4 linked regions of the Saccharomyces cerevisiae S288C genome follow. The gene in region 4 interacts genetically with the main gene of each other region. Each region holds a gene or a part of one and is shown on either strand. Other genes may lie near its edges.

Evidence for each region.
Region 1: mutations in MDM35 (region 4) and EDE1 together harm fitness more than expected from each alone (negative genetic interaction), as found in Saccharomyces cerevisiae (3 studies listed by BioGRID, with this or other methods).
Region 2: mutations in MDM35 (region 4) and PHB1 together harm fitness more than expected from each alone (negative genetic interaction), as found in Saccharomyces cerevisiae (5 studies listed by BioGRID, with this or other methods).
Region 3: of MDM35 (region 4) and UPS1, a mutation in one rescues a mutant of the other (synthetic rescue), as found in Saccharomyces cerevisiae (4 studies listed by BioGRID, with this or other methods).

Annotation. Positions count from the first base shown.
Region 1 is NC_001134.8:127,360-134,171, reverse strand, and holds EDE1 (Ede1p), read left to right. Parts: upstream 1-2,131; coding exon 2,132-6,277; downstream 6,278-6,812. Other genes in the region: ubiquinol--cytochrome-c reductase subunit COR1, read left to right, coding at 1-29; PSY4 (Psy4p), read right to left, coding at 423-1,748; RRT1 (Rrt1p), read right to left, coding at 6,562-6,812. UniProt on the Saccharomyces cerevisiae protein: Functions at the internalization step of the clathrin-mediated endocytosis (CME) as an early-acting scaffold protein. Requires clathrin adapter proteins, ENT1/2 and YAP1801/2, for normal spatiotemporal dynamics and viability.
Region 2 is NC_001139.9:754,996-758,198, reverse strand, and holds PHB1 (prohibitin subunit PHB1), read left to right. Parts: upstream 1-1,746; coding exon 1,747-2,610; downstream 2,611-3,203. Other genes in the region: CCR4-NOT core subunit CAF130, read right to left, coding at 1-429; PEX4 (E2 ubiquitin-protein ligase peroxin 4), read right to left, coding at 752-1,303; FHN1 (Fhn1p), read right to left, coding at 2,949-3,203. UniProt on the Saccharomyces cerevisiae protein: Prohibitin probably acts as a holdase/unfoldase for the stabilization of newly synthesized mitochondrial proteins. Involved in mitophagy; may act as an adapter for ATG8 that supports mitophagosome assembly.
Region 3 is NC_001144.5:539,476-542,311, forward strand, and holds UPS1 (Ups1p), read right to left. Parts: upstream 1,062-2,836; coding exon 534-1,061; downstream 1-533. Other genes in the region: HCR1 (translation initiation factor eIF3 core subunit j), read right to left, coding at 1-114; NCW2 (Ncw2p), read right to left, coding at 1,334-2,098; glycylpeptide N-tetradecanoyltransferase NMT1, read right to left, coding at 2,462-2,836. UniProt on the Saccharomyces cerevisiae protein: Required for maintenance of normal mitochondrial morphology. Required for PCP1-dependent processing of MGM1.
Region 4 is NC_001143.9:338,422-341,442, forward strand, and holds MDM35 (Mdm35p), read right to left. Parts: upstream 1,022-3,021; coding exon 761-1,021; downstream 1-760. Other genes in the region: DNA damage-responsive RNA polymerase-degradation factor DEF1, read right to left, coding at 1-332; ASK1 (Ask1p), read right to left, coding at 1,247-2,125; SFK1 (Sfk1p), read left to right, coding at 2,891-3,021. UniProt on the Saccharomyces cerevisiae protein: Involved in mitochondrial distribution and morphology. Mediates the import of UPS1, UPS2 and UPS3, 3 atypical mitochondrial intermembrane space (IMS) proteins lacking the two major IMS-targeting signals, into the intermembrane space.

The sequences.
Region 1 (6,812 bases), on a different chromosome or scaffold from region 4:
GAAGTGACATGTCCATGATGAGATGGTAAGATGTGTGATAATATATTTTCCATGCACATAAAATAGAAATAAGCAAGCTGCTAGATGTATACAGGCACGCTCGCACACTCACACCATAAATGAATTTTTTACATGTATTTTATATTCTAGTAACCCAAGTAGTCTTCATTATTTATTGGCAAGGTCACTGTTCCTTGCAAAAGTAGAAAATAAAAAAAGAAAAAAAAAGAAACTCGTAAGAAAACAAGATTAAATAAACGTCTTATTTTATATAAGTGTATATATATATATATATATATATGTGACCAAGATCCTGAAGAACTATCGATTTTAAAAATAAGAAAGATGAACTTTTTTTTGGTAAAACATATTTAATGATATTATGCAAATGGGAAGTTGTTGGTAGAGAAGTCATCTCTCGATCATCTGGACTTCTTGCCTAATGGACTGCTAATATTCTCACGGTAGGTAATACCAGCAATCGCAACCATCTTATCCTCTTGTGAAGAGCTCATCGATGGACTCACTAATTCGTCACCTGGTAACAGTCCTTCACTTCTACCCTCATGGTTTTCATGAGCATCCTCTTTCTCCTCCTCCTGGCTCGATGAGATCTCATTACTGCCGTCCATGGCATTGAGGAGCGAAGACGATGGCGACTCTATTATGGAGAACCTGCCCGTTGCGGTATGTTTATATTTCTTTGGCGTCGTGAGATCCATGTTTGTGAATGATGGTGATTCGTCATATTCAAAGTTATCTAAATCTGTGGGCTTCCTCTTCCTTGGAGTTTCATTTTTCTTGTCAAAATTTTGCACCTTGGTACTTTCGCCCGCCTGCCTATCTTCGTCATCATCTTCATCGTCATCTGTGCTGCCCATGTGATCATCATCCTCATCATCTTCATCTGCACCATCTTCACGATAATCGTCGTCGTTGTCATCGTCATCTTCATCATCGCTATTATTCTTCGTAACATCGCTCTGACAATTTTGTCCTTTATTATCGCTATTATCATCGTTTATCCCGCAATCATCCTCATAGTATTCTTCCACCATGAAATTTTCATCTTTCAGCAAAACATTACGCTTACTCTTATTCCCCATCTCCCTATCTTCATCACCATCAAAAAATCCTTCCTCTTCATCCTCGTCATCGTAGCCTAGGTTGACACTCATTATAGAGTCGATTTCTCTAATAAAGGGTGCCAACTCCCTAGTATTGTTTTCGGTCATCCACGGTATCTTCATTAGTGAGACATCTTCTTGATTCTTGATGAAGTTAATATCTTTCTCCTTATCGTCCTCTTGCTTCTCACCGTGTGTTTTATCAAAAACCTGCCAACTGCTAGTTACCATGCAACATTTTTCTAGCGCATTTACAAACTTCTCCAATTCATTGATCTTGTAATATTTGAAAGGATCATAACACAATTCGCATATCCGAAGTATTGTGAATGGAAATGTATGATTTTGTAAAAAATTATCATTCAGAAACTTACCCAGCCAATTTAATCTAGTAACGAGATTTCTCGCATCGTTCATTTCATTCTTAAGGTTTATAAATAGGTCAAACGGTATTGTTTCAGTGATATGCCGGATTAAATCAGGCAAAACTTGCTCGGGACCCGCCGTCACCAATCGCGTCTTGTCGCCCTGTTTCACCACATCGCTAAGTAATTCATAAAGGCTGATAGACTTGATACCCATCATATTATTATCCACATCATCCAACATCGTCGAGCTCATAGCTTTTTATTGTGCTTTGACAATCGATGAGAACACCAACAAAAAATGATAATAGGTATTGTTAGCTGTGTCAAAATACATGCTTTTGATCGCGAAATGAAAAACTACACAATCATTACCCGTCGGCGCTTCGGAGGGGGATTAGATTTCTCCTATAATCAAAATCTTCAACTATTACAAACCCCTTTTCAGAAGCACATTGAAAACAACACACAACAGAGCACTTTGTGATAGGCAATAGAGTGCTTTTAAATAGAGAATTACTGGTTCTCGCGAAATAATATAGCGCGTTGAAACTAATAAATAGATTCGTGAAGCTCTAGATCTATCTTTTTTCCTGTTTTTATCTGTGTGTTTTCAATAGGATTCGAACGATATAGGCCATGGCATCTATTACTTTTAGAACTCCATTATCCTCTCAGGAACAAGCCTTTTATAATCAGAAATTTCACCAATTGGATACGGAAGATCTCGGGGTGGTCACTGGCGAGGCAGTCAGACCGCTCTTCGCGTCTTCTGGTCTTCCAGGGCAATTACTATCGCAAGTGTGGGCTACCGTCGATATAGACAATAAAGGGTTTTTGAACTTGAACGAGTTTTCGGCTGCTTTGAGAATGATCGCTCAATTGCAAAATGCTCCCAACCAACCAATTTCCGCTGCCCTATATGAGAGCACACCTACTCAACTGGCTTCTTTTTCTATAAATCAGAACCCAGCCCCTATGCAAAGCGGTAGTGCAACCGGCAATACAAACAACACTGATATTCCTGCCTTATCCTCAAATGATATTGCTAAATTTTCACAACTGTTTGATAGGACAGCAAAGGGTGCTCAAACTGTTGCTGGTGATAAAGCCAAGGATATATTTTTAAAGGCAAGATTACCAAATCAAACTTTAGGTGAAATTTGGGCTCTTTGTGATAGAGACGCATCCGGTGTCTTAGACAAATCTGAGTTTATAATGGCCATGTATTTGATCCAACTATGTATGTCTCATCATCCTAGTATGAACACACCACCGGCCGTGTTGCCTACTCAGCTGTGGGATTCTATTCGTTTAGAACCTGTTGTTGTTAATCAACCAAACAGGACTACTCCTTTGAGTGCTAACTCCACTGGCGTATCTTCACTAACAAGACACTCTACTATATCACGTCTATCTACTGGTGCATTCAGTAATGCTGCTTCAGATTGGTCTTTAAGTTTTGAAAAAAAACAACAGTTTGATGCAATTTTTGATTCATTAGATAAGCAACATGCTGGTTCGCTAAGCTCTGCTGTGTTGGTTCCATTCTTCTTATCCTCTAGATTAAACCAAGAGACGTTAGCCACCATCTGGGACTTAGCTGACATCCACAACAATGCTGAATTCACCAAATTGGAATTTGCTATTGCCATGTTCTTAATTCAAAAAAAGAATGCTGGTGTCGAATTACCGGATGTTATCCCCAATGAATTATTACAGTCCCCCGCTTTAGGACTTTATCCGCCAAACCCACTTCCTCAACAACAAAGTGCACCTCAAATTGCCATCCCCTCAAGAGCAAGTAAGCCTTCTTTACAGGATATGCCACACCAAGTTTCTGCCCCAGCAGTTAATACTCAACCAACAGTTCCACAAGTTCTTCCTCAAAACTCAAATAACGGTTCTTTGAATGATTTACTGGCTTTGAACCCTTCATTCAGCTCTCCTTCTCCCACTAAAGCACAAACTGTGGTTCAAAACAACACAAATAATAGTTTTTCATATGATAATAACAATGGCCAAGCAACATTACAACAACAACAGCCACAGCAGCCTCCACCTTTAACTCACTCCTCCTCTGGATTGAAGAAATTTACTCCCACCTCAAACTTCGGTCAAAGTATAATCAAGGAAGAACCAGAGGAACAAGAGCAACTAAGGGAATCCAGTGATACTTTTAGCGCTCAGCCTCCGCCAGTTCCAAAACATGCTTCAAGTCCAGTCAAACGTACAGCTTCAACAACACTGCCACAAGTTCCCAACTTTTCTGTGTTTAGCATGCCAGCAGGCGCTGCCACTAGCGCTGCCACTGGTGCTGCTGTAGGCGCCGCAGTGGGTGCTGCTGCTTTAGGCGCATCCGCTTTTTCAAGATCTTCCAATAATGCATTCAAGAACCAGGATTTATTTGCAGATGGTGAAGCTTCTGCTCAGTTATCTAATGCTACCACAGAAATGGCTAATTTATCTAACCAAGTAAACTCCCTGTCCAAGCAGGCAAGTATAACTAATGACAAAAAGTCAAGAGCGACCCAGGAGTTGAAACGTGTTACTGAGATGAAAAATTCCATTCAAATCAAATTGAACAATTTACGTTCTACCCATGACCAAAATGTTAAACAAACGGAACAACTGGAAGCACAAGTACTTCAAGTAAACAAAGAAAACGAAACATTAGCGCAACAGTTGGCTGTATCCGAAGCAAACTACCATGCCGCTGAGTCCAAACTCAATGAACTAACTACTGATTTGCAAGAATCTCAAACAAAGAACGCAGAATTAAAAGAACAAATTACGAATTTGAACTCGATGACAGCCTCCTTACAGTCACAATTAAATGAAAAACAACAACAGGTCAAGCAAGAAAGGTCAATGGTAGATGTTAATTCAAAACAGCTAGAGTTGAATCAAGTCACAGTAGCAAACTTGCAGAAGGAAATCGATGGTCTTGGCGAAAAGATAAGCGTTTACTTAACTAAACAAAAGGAGTTAAATGACTACCAAAAGACCGTGGAGGAGCAACACGCACAATTACAAGCTAAATACCAGGATCTGTCCAACAAGGATACTGATTTAACGGACCGTGAAAAACAATTGGAAGAACGTAACAGACAAATTGAAGAACAAGAAAATCTCTACCATCAGCACGTTTCTAAATTGCAAGAAATGTTCGACGATCTATCACAGAGAAAAGCTTCTTTTGAAAAAGCTGATCAAGAGTTAAAGGAGAGAAACATCGAATACGCTAACAATGTGAGAGAGTTATCCGAAAGACAAATGAATTTAGCTATGGGACAATTACCTGAGGATGCTAAGGACATTATTGCGAAAAGCGCCTCTAATACAGATACAACAACCAAAGAAGCCACATCAAGAGGAAATGTTCACGAAGACACTGTATCCAAATTTGTCGAAACTACTGTTGAGAATTCAAACTTGAATGTTAATCGGGTTAAAGACGATGAAGAAAAGACAGAAAGAACCGAAAGTGACGTATTTGATAGAGACGTTCCAACTTTGGGATCTCAAAGCGATAGTGAAAATGCCAATACAAACAACGGCACCCAGTCAGGAAATGAGACAGCAAATCCAAACTTAACTGAAACATTAAGTGATAGGTTTGATGGTGATTTGAATGAATATGGTATTCCAAGAAGTCAATCCTTGACATCGTCTGTTGCAAACAATGCTCCTCAATCCGTAAGAGATGATGTTGAGCTACCGGAAACGTTGGAAGAACGTGACACCATCAATAATACTGCGAATAGAGATAATACTGGAAACTTATCTCACATTCCTGGTGAATGGGAAGCTACCCCAGCTACCGCTTCTACTGATGTTTTGAGCAACGAAACTACAGAAGTTATTGAAGACGGAAGTACCACAAAAAGGGCTAATTCAAATGAAGACGGTGAGTCGGTCAGTTCTATCCAAGAATCTCCAAAAATCTCTGCTCAACCAAAAGCAAAGACAATAAATGAAGAGTTTCCACCAATTCAGGAATTGCATATTGACGAAAGCGATTCATCCTCTTCAGACGATGATGAGTTTGAAGATACCAGAGAAATTCCATCAGCAACAGTGAAGACCCTTCAAACTCCCTATAATGCCCAGCCCACATCAAGTTTGGAAATCCACACGGAACAAGTCATAAAATATCCCGCTCCAGGCACTTCTCCTTCACATAATGAAGGTAACTCAAAAAAGGCAAGCACCAATTCCATTTTGCCTGTTAAGGACGAATTTGATGATGAATTCGCAGGGTTAGAACAAGCGGCTGTGGAGGAAGATAATGGTGCTGATTCGGAATCTGAATTTGAGAATGTTGCGAATGCTGGGTCGATGGAGCAATTTGAAACCATAGACCATAAGGATCTCGATGACGAACTACAAATGAACGCTTTTACAGGGACGTTAACTAGTTCCTCTAACCCAACTATCCCAAAACCACAAGTACAACAACAGTCAACCAGTGACCCTGCTCAAGTAAGCAACGATGAGTGGGACGAGATTTTTGCTGGATTTGGTAACTCCAAAGCTGAACCAACCAAAGTAGCTACCCCAAGCATTCCACAACAACCAATTCCATTGAAGAATGATCCTATCGTTGATGCTAGCTTGTCAAAAGGTCCAATAGTTAACCGCGGGGTTGCAACTACTCCAAAGTCTCTAGCCGTCGAGGAGTTAAGTGGCATGGGATTTACTGAAGAAGAAGCGCACAATGCCTTGGAAAAGTGCAACTGGGATCTAGAAGCCGCCACTAACTTTTTGTTGGATAGTGCTTAGTCTGTAATGGACCATTTCGTCTTCTTTTTGTACTTCTTCCTCGAAGCTGAATCATATTTACCCTTTTCCAGGATCGTCCTTGTATATTGTGAATTATTCTAAAAGTAGAATATGTTGTACTTTAAAATTGTTATAGTTATCATCATCTATTTTTCCATTTTATAAAATTTTTACGTTAGACAGTTATGTATTGAAACTGCTTCATAAGTTTTGAAAATCATCCCAGTTTGGTAAATACACTAACCAAAAAAAAAAAAAGCTCTACCACATAATCTTTGGGCGTATTACAACATGGGAAACACGACATTATTGAAAATACAAAAAAAGTAAAGTAAGACTCGTTCAGGGCATAAGTCAATGGCCCTGTAAGAAAAAACAAAGTAGCTAGGCTCATAAGAGATTATCTGTTTAATTTTCTTTGAATAAAAAAAAGTATAAATCGATAAGATAAAATACCACAATGAAAAAATAAAGGCTACTTGAAAACAACTGGACCAAACCAAAACCCAATTAACCCAGACCAGTAATGAAACAC
Region 2 (3,203 bases), on a different chromosome or scaffold from region 4:
TTGAAGAGGGGCCGTTTTATTTGCTAATAAAAACCTTAAGAATTTCAGGAGTAATATATCATTATCTTTCCAACTCAGTACTATGGAAGCATAGCTAGAACTGTTATTTTCAAAGGACTGGGCCCAGGATTTTCTTTCCTTCAAAGAAGAAGTCTGAATTAATCGTAAAGCTGACTTCCCTGAAATTGTTGTGAACAACGTAATTATGAGAGCCTCAAGCAATAGGTTAGAGCATATTTTCTGATCATTAAACATGGTTTCATTATATAAGATCTTCTCCAAATTTTCCACCGATGGAACATAATTTTTATCTTTCAGTAACTCTTGTAAGGGAATAAAGTCCTTAAAATGAACCGAATCACCTGAAGAATCTTCACTGGCTAAATTTTGCCTTTCAGCATAATTAGTAGCTGCTTTCTTTTTCGTCATCACTTTCTTACGTAAGTATGTGGAGTTAAGAGAGAAAAAGTGTTTGAAAAAAGCTCCTCAACGATCTACTGGGCTGCCAAAATAAAATTCAGCGTCAATGGAAAAGCTAACTAATGTAGATATTGCGTGCACTACTTGTCAAAAATTCGTGCTCCTTATTAATATATGTATATGTATATACAAATGTGTCAATACATCAATAGTGCAATTTGTTAAAGTATTTGTATTCATAAATTGGCGCTGCCCGGGTAAGGTAGAAATTGCATCAGATAAAAGTGAGGGCCCATTGTTTGCCATTCGAACACATCCATCCTACGTGGTATCAATGGTTGTTGATCCGCTCTCTTTCTGCTAGGAAGTACTTTACAATCCCCTGATAGGCACTCATATCGCCACAGCGGATGATATTACCAATGTCTACGTCAAGTGGAGAATCACAAACGGGTTCCCTTAGGAGTCTCCAAACAGCATGAACACAGTGTAACAAATCCCATACAGGAGTCCACTCCTCTGGTTTAAGGATGTTCAGACATATTTCTCCTGTGGCTGATTTAACATTGCAGTGCAAAATATTGTTCTGCATAAAACTTATCTTTGGTGGATTCATGGGGTAGGAACTAGGGACTTCTATTAGTATTCGAAACTGATGATTTTCATAAGGTGTGTCTGACGGCCCAGAAATTATAGCTTCCCACTTGCTCAAGTCGGTTTCGTCAATCGGGTTAAGTGACTCGATTATCCCCCGGTAGGGGTTCGCTATGGGGTCATCACTGGCCAATGTTTTCAGTATGACTTTGTACTCCTTCACGATCCTCGACATACATGTATCAGACGTATAGCTCCTACGATTCTCAAGAATCCAGAAGTTTGGCATATTATGTATAAAGGCGATGATTATGTATATTTTATGTTGTCTCCAGTAAGTGGCAGCATAACCCGGCCAGTCTGCGCTGCATGCTGTGAAGCAGTAATATGCGATATATACCACATATATTCCGCTTCCGTTCAGGATTTCGAAAAGAGAAACTTCAGTGAATGACTATGACTACATAGTTGGAGTCTTAGACCATTGCAAATGAGTTATTCAAGTATGAGAGATCAACACTGATGAGAATAAACTCGTCTTCATGATGATACGGGTAACGCGAATGTATCGCATCAATAAATTTCAGGGAAAGGGAGTTTGACGATCTCATGGATGCAACGGTTGAGGTATATAATATTAAGCAGAAAGAAGAGGAAAAAAAATAAATCGGTAAACCAACCATCAACGGTACGAAACTTACATTCAAAATCAATAATTTACTTTAGAAAAGAATGTCTAATTCTGCCAAACTTATCGATGTCATCACCAAGGTGGCGTTGCCCATTGGTATAATTGCTAGCGGGATTCAGTACTCCATGTATGATGTGAAGGGTGGTTCTCGTGGTGTTATTTTCGACAGAATCAATGGTGTAAAGCAACAGGTTGTGGGTGAAGGCACTCATTTCTTGGTGCCTTGGCTACAGAAGGCGATCATATACGATGTGAGGACGAAACCAAAGAGCATTGCTACCAATACTGGTACGAAGGATTTGCAAATGGTGTCATTGACCTTGAGAGTCTTACATAGACCAGAGGTCTTACAGCTACCCGCAATATACCAAAATTTGGGTCTCGATTACGACGAAAGAGTGTTACCATCTATCGGCAATGAGGTTTTAAAGTCTATAGTAGCTCAATTTGATGCTGCTGAGTTAATTACTCAGAGAGAAATTATTTCTCAAAAAATCAGAAAAGAGCTTTCTACGAGGGCCAACGAATTCGGTATTAAGTTGGAAGATGTCTCTATCACTCATATGACGTTTGGTCCCGAATTCACGAAAGCAGTTGAGCAGAAGCAGATTGCACAGCAAGATGCCGAAAGAGCCAAATTCCTTGTCGAAAAGGCAGAGCAAGAGAGACAAGCTTCTGTTATCAGAGCTGAAGGTGAAGCAGAAAGTGCTGAATTCATTTCAAAAGCCTTAGCTAAAGTTGGTGATGGTCTGTTATTGATTAGAAGATTAGAAGCTTCTAAGGACATCGCTCAAACATTAGCAAACTCATCTAACGTTGTCTATTTACCAAGTCAACATTCTGGTGGTGGTAACAGCGAGTCTTCGGGATCACCAAATTCCTTGCTTTTGAACATTGGCCGTTAAGTCTGGAAAAGCTATGAACACAATAAACTAGGGGAGAAAATTTTTTTTTAATCATATTAGAAACCTGTATATATGGGGGATAACAACGCCAATAACATATTCCATCTTTCCATTTAGTTACCAACACGAATACGTATGCTATCAATATCGTAACTTAGTTTTTTATCATTTATATATATACATGGATGAGCCTACGAAAAAACTAAAGCACATTCATGTATCACCATAATATTATTTTAGAAAGAACTTTTTTTGTTAAATTTATTTAATGCAAAGGTTATATAAAGAACGATCAACGAAAATTGTACGCGAATTGCCTTTTTTTCAGTCCAGTAGGCTTAAACCTGGGAAATTGTAGGTATGCCCATTTGTCTTCTTGCCCTCCTTCTGCTGAATCCGGTATTAGAGCCAAATCCACCATTTTGCATCATACCCATCGTGGCCACAGTCACTTTGATGAGGAATAGAAAACAGGAAAAGTAAAAAAACGCAACAGCAGCCTGAGATTGATGACATCTGGAGCTTGAGCCTTGTATGATCTTATTCTGTTCCAGATATGTTTTGTTTTTACACGAATGGCATCTTATACCTAC
Region 3 (2,836 bases), on a different chromosome or scaffold from region 4:
ATCCCATGATTGCATGACAGGTTCGTCATCACCAATTTCAGCATCCCATGAGTCCATCAAAACGGCGTCATCATTACCCATAGAACCATTGATAGCTTCGTCGTCCCAAGACATTTTTATTACTTTTTTTTTTTTGAGGTGGTGGTTAGGATAGAATAGTTACAAGGAACTCAAAAGATAGTAAGATAATTTAAAGCGAGAGTTCAAGAATGGTGGGAGCAGTCAGTTCTCAATTCTTTAATGTAGTACTTCTGACTTAGCTAGCATGAAAAAAAAATTCGGAAAATGCCCAAAAACAGGTGTGTTCGTCTAATATGATACAGGGACGACCATAATATCAAGATTAGTGACATTTGATGTATAGTTTAGCAGAATGACTGTTATAAATAAATAATTATATATGTGTGTATATTAAATTTTGTTGAACCAGCGCTTATTTACAATTTTTAGGACGTGACCAAATGCGAGCTGCACTAGTTTTCTCAATTTCGCTCGCCCATGGTGATATCTTTAAAGATCTTTAAATGGGAACATCAAAACTGAGGATTTCTCGCCTCTTCGAGTTTTTGGATAACAAATGCCATGCCCATTCTGCTTTTCTTAACGTTTTCGTCAAATTTAGTGCGCGACCAATCCTCTACCTTAGATTTGATACCCATATTGAAGCCACTTGAAAACTTCACCCGGCTGTCTGCTATCGTACTACTTGTAGCACTGTCAAATTGATAGGTAGTATATTCTTCAACCTTCATGATTCCAGTGTGATCCAGATTCCTAGTGTAAGTTTTCATTGTGGAGTTAGCGGGGTTCACTACGGAAACTTCGATTATCCATGTTTCTGTTATACCTCTTAAAAAGGGTTTGACCCATGTGGGCAGCTTTCCGGACTTTTTCAACAGCCTCGTTGTGCGCAAATTTCCTTCTTGATCAACGTTCCTTGATATTGTGTCTATGGATAGTACATGGGGGGAGTATGGATTGGGGTATCTATTAAAAAAGGCGCGTGAAACAGAGGCAAAATCGGTAGGAAATATATGTGTGCTTTTGTGTAAAAGGACCATTGCAACTCTTAAGGATATCTTACCGCCGTCTCAGAAGCCAGACAATACTTATTGAATATGATTACTCATCCATCTGTCATATATATTTTTTTTTTCTAGCTTATTATCCAGGGAGAGCGAGAAATACTGCGGAGTTTTTCACCCGAAAGAAAAAAAATACGCAAGCACGATGATAACAATAGTTATATTATTGGTTACCTACAGTGTATAAAAAGAAAGAGTTTTATTAAAATGCAGAACTATGTGGTGGTATACAGAACTGATTATACATTCTATAACAAAAGGGCACCAACGGCGAATGCACCCGCACCATAAGCTATGTGAGTGCCGGCAAAGGCGCCATTGGTAGAATTGGACATTACGGACGCTACCTTACCGTTGACTGTAGACTTGTATGTAGTGGTCAGTGTCTCTACTGTAGAACCTGACGTAGTGGTATAAGTTGATTTGATAGTGCTTACTACCTTGGTGCTTGATTCCGGTTTTGATGAGGATCCCGAAGATGATTTACTTGATGAAGCCGTGTTGTCAGTTGTGGCTGAGGACGGTAGCCACCAAACAGTAGATGTGTAAGTCTCACCTAACGAATTCGTGGTAGTTACTATAGTAACTGGCCCGTCCGTTGATGTTGATGTCGTTGAGGAGGATGCGGAGTTGGTGATTCCGCTTGACGTCTCTCCGGTGGGCTGCACAGAGGCAGTTGAAGTTGTGCTTACGGCAGAGTTGCTTTCGGCCACCCACCATAGGTACTGTGTCGTGGTTTTGCCTTGTGCATCCGTCGTCACTACGGTGGTACTTGGAGCCACAGCATAGGTGTTGCTGACGACGTTGCTAGTTTGTACTAAGCTTTTTCCGGTAGAAACTACAGTTGATGCGCTTTCTTGGGCTTCCTTTGTCGTGGTAGGTGTGATCTCTTGAGAGTTTGAGCTTTCCTTTTGTGAGCTATCTTCAGAGTTCTGGCCATCTAAGGAACCAGAGTCTTTTTGAGCAGCGGCTAGAGTAATTAAGGTGGTAAATAATATGGAACAGGCCTTCATTTTATATATATGTTGGGTTTGTTTATATTTTCACTAGATCGGTGAGTATCTAGTCCAGAAGAGTTGATCTTTCTTACATACTTATATATGCTCACTACCGCCTTCTGAGAAAGTAGGCGTTTTTCAGCTACCTCAGTCGCTAAAAATAAATGCGAGTTCTCAAGCCAACTTGGACTCCAAGGCGGTAATTATAGTGATTCTCTTTGTCTATTTTTGGATTTATTTTGGAGGCTGACACTCTAAAGCCAGCCATTGGATTAATTATTTTTTCACTTCGTCAATTGACTATGCGGAAAAACTAAATGTGGTCAAATTCTGTCGGCTATGTACACGAAAACTATATACGCCTCGTCCTTTCAGCCACTACAACATAACAACACCGACATTGCTACGCCTTTTAATGTCGTTACTATTGTCGGGATTCAAGCCACCGGTAATCGGCTTTGCTCTATAATTAAATAAATAGAAGTTCAAGAACCCGTCACCGGGCCCGAACTTCAAATCATCCAAGAACAATGTATTATCTTGCGAAGTCAACGCGTTAAAAACATCCATATTAGCGTTTTTGGCCAAAATACAAGCGTCATAAATCAATTCACACAATCTTGTTTTCAAAGCCTTAGTAGCTTTTGGATCAAACCTGTCTTTGAATTGGAAATCTGCATCGGTGGCATAATAATACAAGTACCCGATGCCTAGGTCCTTATATTTTGTGTTATTTAGGATTGTGAATGGCAA
Region 4 (3,021 bases):
AAAGAATTGCTATTATTAGAACTCTTATATGTAATATCATCTTCTGGATTTGGCAAATGTTGTTGAGGGACATATGAGTGTTGTTGCTCCTTTTTTTCATATTTTTCCTTCTTAGCAGGTTTCTTTACTTCATCCCATCTTGTCACTGCGCCGGAAGTAATTTTATCAATTATAGTTTCCAAATCATCATATTCTTGAACTATATCAATTAAATCATCACTCGTCCAGTCAGGGAACAATTCTGTAAGCGTATCTATTTTGGACTTTAGCGCAGGATTTAGTTTTTTACTACTATGACTATTATGATTAGACTTCCTAAATTGTGTAGACATTATATATATATGATGATGTAGATTATATTGAGAAAACGACCAAACAAAAATAAATATGTAAGTACTTTATGATGGTGATTTTTTTGGGGTAATTGGTAAGAGTTTTTCTTGTAGCTTCAAAAGATCAAATATAAAATACGAATGTTTCTGAAATTACTGTAAAAGACTTAGGAAAAGGAATGAAACGTTTATATGGGAGAGAACGAAAATTTTTCCTTTTCCCGCCACTACTTTTTGCCACCATTTCCCGTTATTTATTTGGGCGAGTGCTCACCTCCGACGGAATCACGGGTGACGGATATCCTAAAAAGGTAAAGAATTGAAACAGATCTATTAATATACGGATCACTATACATTATTATAAGTCGATATTGCAGTATTAGTATTTACATGTTGAATAATGCACATTCTGTGCTAAAATATATACTTCATTTGTCAACTTCTTTTAGTTTGCCGCCATTTTCAAACGGCGCCTCCTCCCTAGCTTCGTCTAGAGCAGGCTTAATACCTTGTTTGACGAGAGCTGCGTTGACACATGTAGTATAAGCGTACCATTGTTTTGAGCACTCGTTCTCAACGGATTTTCCCTTCAGGAATTTTTCGCTATACCATTCATTAAAACAACTATCGTATTTCGTCTTCAGGTCAGTGCATTCAGGCGCAAAACTAGCTGACATTATATTCCCCATATAAAACTGGTATTATTGTTATTGTAATTCAAGTTAAAACACAAACAGATGTTTTCTAATGACCTCTCCCGGCATATATCTGGCGCACTTAGAATAAATTTCTACATGCAAATACTCTGAATATTCTGAATGTGGCTCTCCCTATATCGAAGAAAAAATATAGCGGGCCCATTACCCTGCGTTCTGATATTCATCACTAGTAAAAATTGTATGTACTTATTTATTCTATCTATTCGTAGAAAAATGAATGATGGTCCCAGGCTTTGGTACTTCTTTCGTACTCTCTTCTTCATCGGGCCCTTCGTTGTTATCATCCGCTTGTCCCTTCGGGTGGTGGTGCCCCTGCTTCAGAGGCGAGCTCTCTATATTATTGCTGTTCTCATCGTCGTTATCGCCGTCGTTATTAATATGTTCTTCATGAGCCAGTTGCTTCCGCATTTTATTGGGCACAATCGGAGACGGTACCATGCTGGAACTAGACCCGTACTGCTGCTGCAAAAGTAGCGAAATCTTTCTTTTGCGGCTTTGTCTCTGTATTGTACTTTCATCTTGCTCATCATCAGCTCCACCATGACCCTCGCCTGTAAGGTCTGTTTGCTCCCTTGAAGGCACCGCCTCTGAACCAGTATCTTCGTCGCTAGAGTCCGGAAGTTTCAATATCTGTCCCGTGGATGTTATATTCGCTGTGTGGAAATCATCTATACTGTCGTTATTAAACATAGAATGGACATCCCGGTTGACATGTACAGCTGAATCTGCCTCGTTAGGCCCATTGTCTGTCTGGGACTGCCTACTCGCCTCTTCAGCGGATGTAGGAAATATACCAACATTATTGCTCACAAGGCTTTTGACTGGAGCGTTTCCCACTGGTGCAGCTGCATTTGCCTGCAAATTCACCAGCCCAGTCTCTTGAAACATAGTCCCCAGCCATTCGGTGCTATCCATGATCCGCTCACATATTTCTGAATATGTAGCCACGTGTGGGATGATGTCCTGGGTGATCTTATGAAAGCAGAAACTCAAGTTAGAGTCTATCTTCTGCAGGTTCACTGTAATTTCTTGATCAAGTTTTTCCAATGTTTCCTCTTTGCTTGCAGAATCCATTTTTTGTGTCAACAATCCCTTATGTTGCTCTTTCCATACGTTGATCAACCTGGCTCTATTCCCACCCCAAACTGTAGATATCTATTTTGTTGATGCCTCAGCTCACCAAAACAAACCAAAAAAACGGAAAAAAAAAACGGAAAAGAACGGAAACAAACGGAAAAGAACGGAAAAGAAAACAGGAAAAACTCGCTGTTCTGTTACCCGCGCGGCACTACCGCATTTAATCGGAGTAGCTACTAATCAAGCAAGGGCCTCCGTTCCTCTATGACGCACCGGACATATCGCATTTCCACTATAATAGTGCAAGTAGGACGGGATAAGGCCCAAGATTATCAATGAAGACTAACACAACGGTCTTGCCAGCCATATCCAACTCTAAACATCTTCCACGGCTGTTCAAAAACGAAGATCTCTTACCCCTCTGCGGCTTAAGGGCTCTGTTCAATTGAAGGATCCGCGGCAGTAAAGTAAATGGATGAAAAAAAAAAACTGGAAAAATAGCAACTTTTTTCAGCCTGGAAGATTTGTCATCTAAGCGAAGGAGAATGAAACCGGAATTTTCACTCCTTCTTAGGGGCATTCAGTTTATAAATATAGTTATTCCCTGAAGTTGAGATTTACTGATTTAACATCTGGACAACTAAAAACCTAAATAATAAGACACAATTTTTTGCGGGATTTTTTTTCCTTTAGATACTTTTAACATTCATAGTAAAAAGTTCTGCTACATAGTAAAAACACATAGAAGGTACAAGCAATAGCATGATTCAATTTAAAAGTCCAGGTAACTGGCTGTTCATAGTACCCTGGATTGCCTTCATTCCATGGTATGGTATGCTGATAGCCATGCTTATTTGCTGGGCCAGTCAAGGCCATCCCATATATTGGTTCAT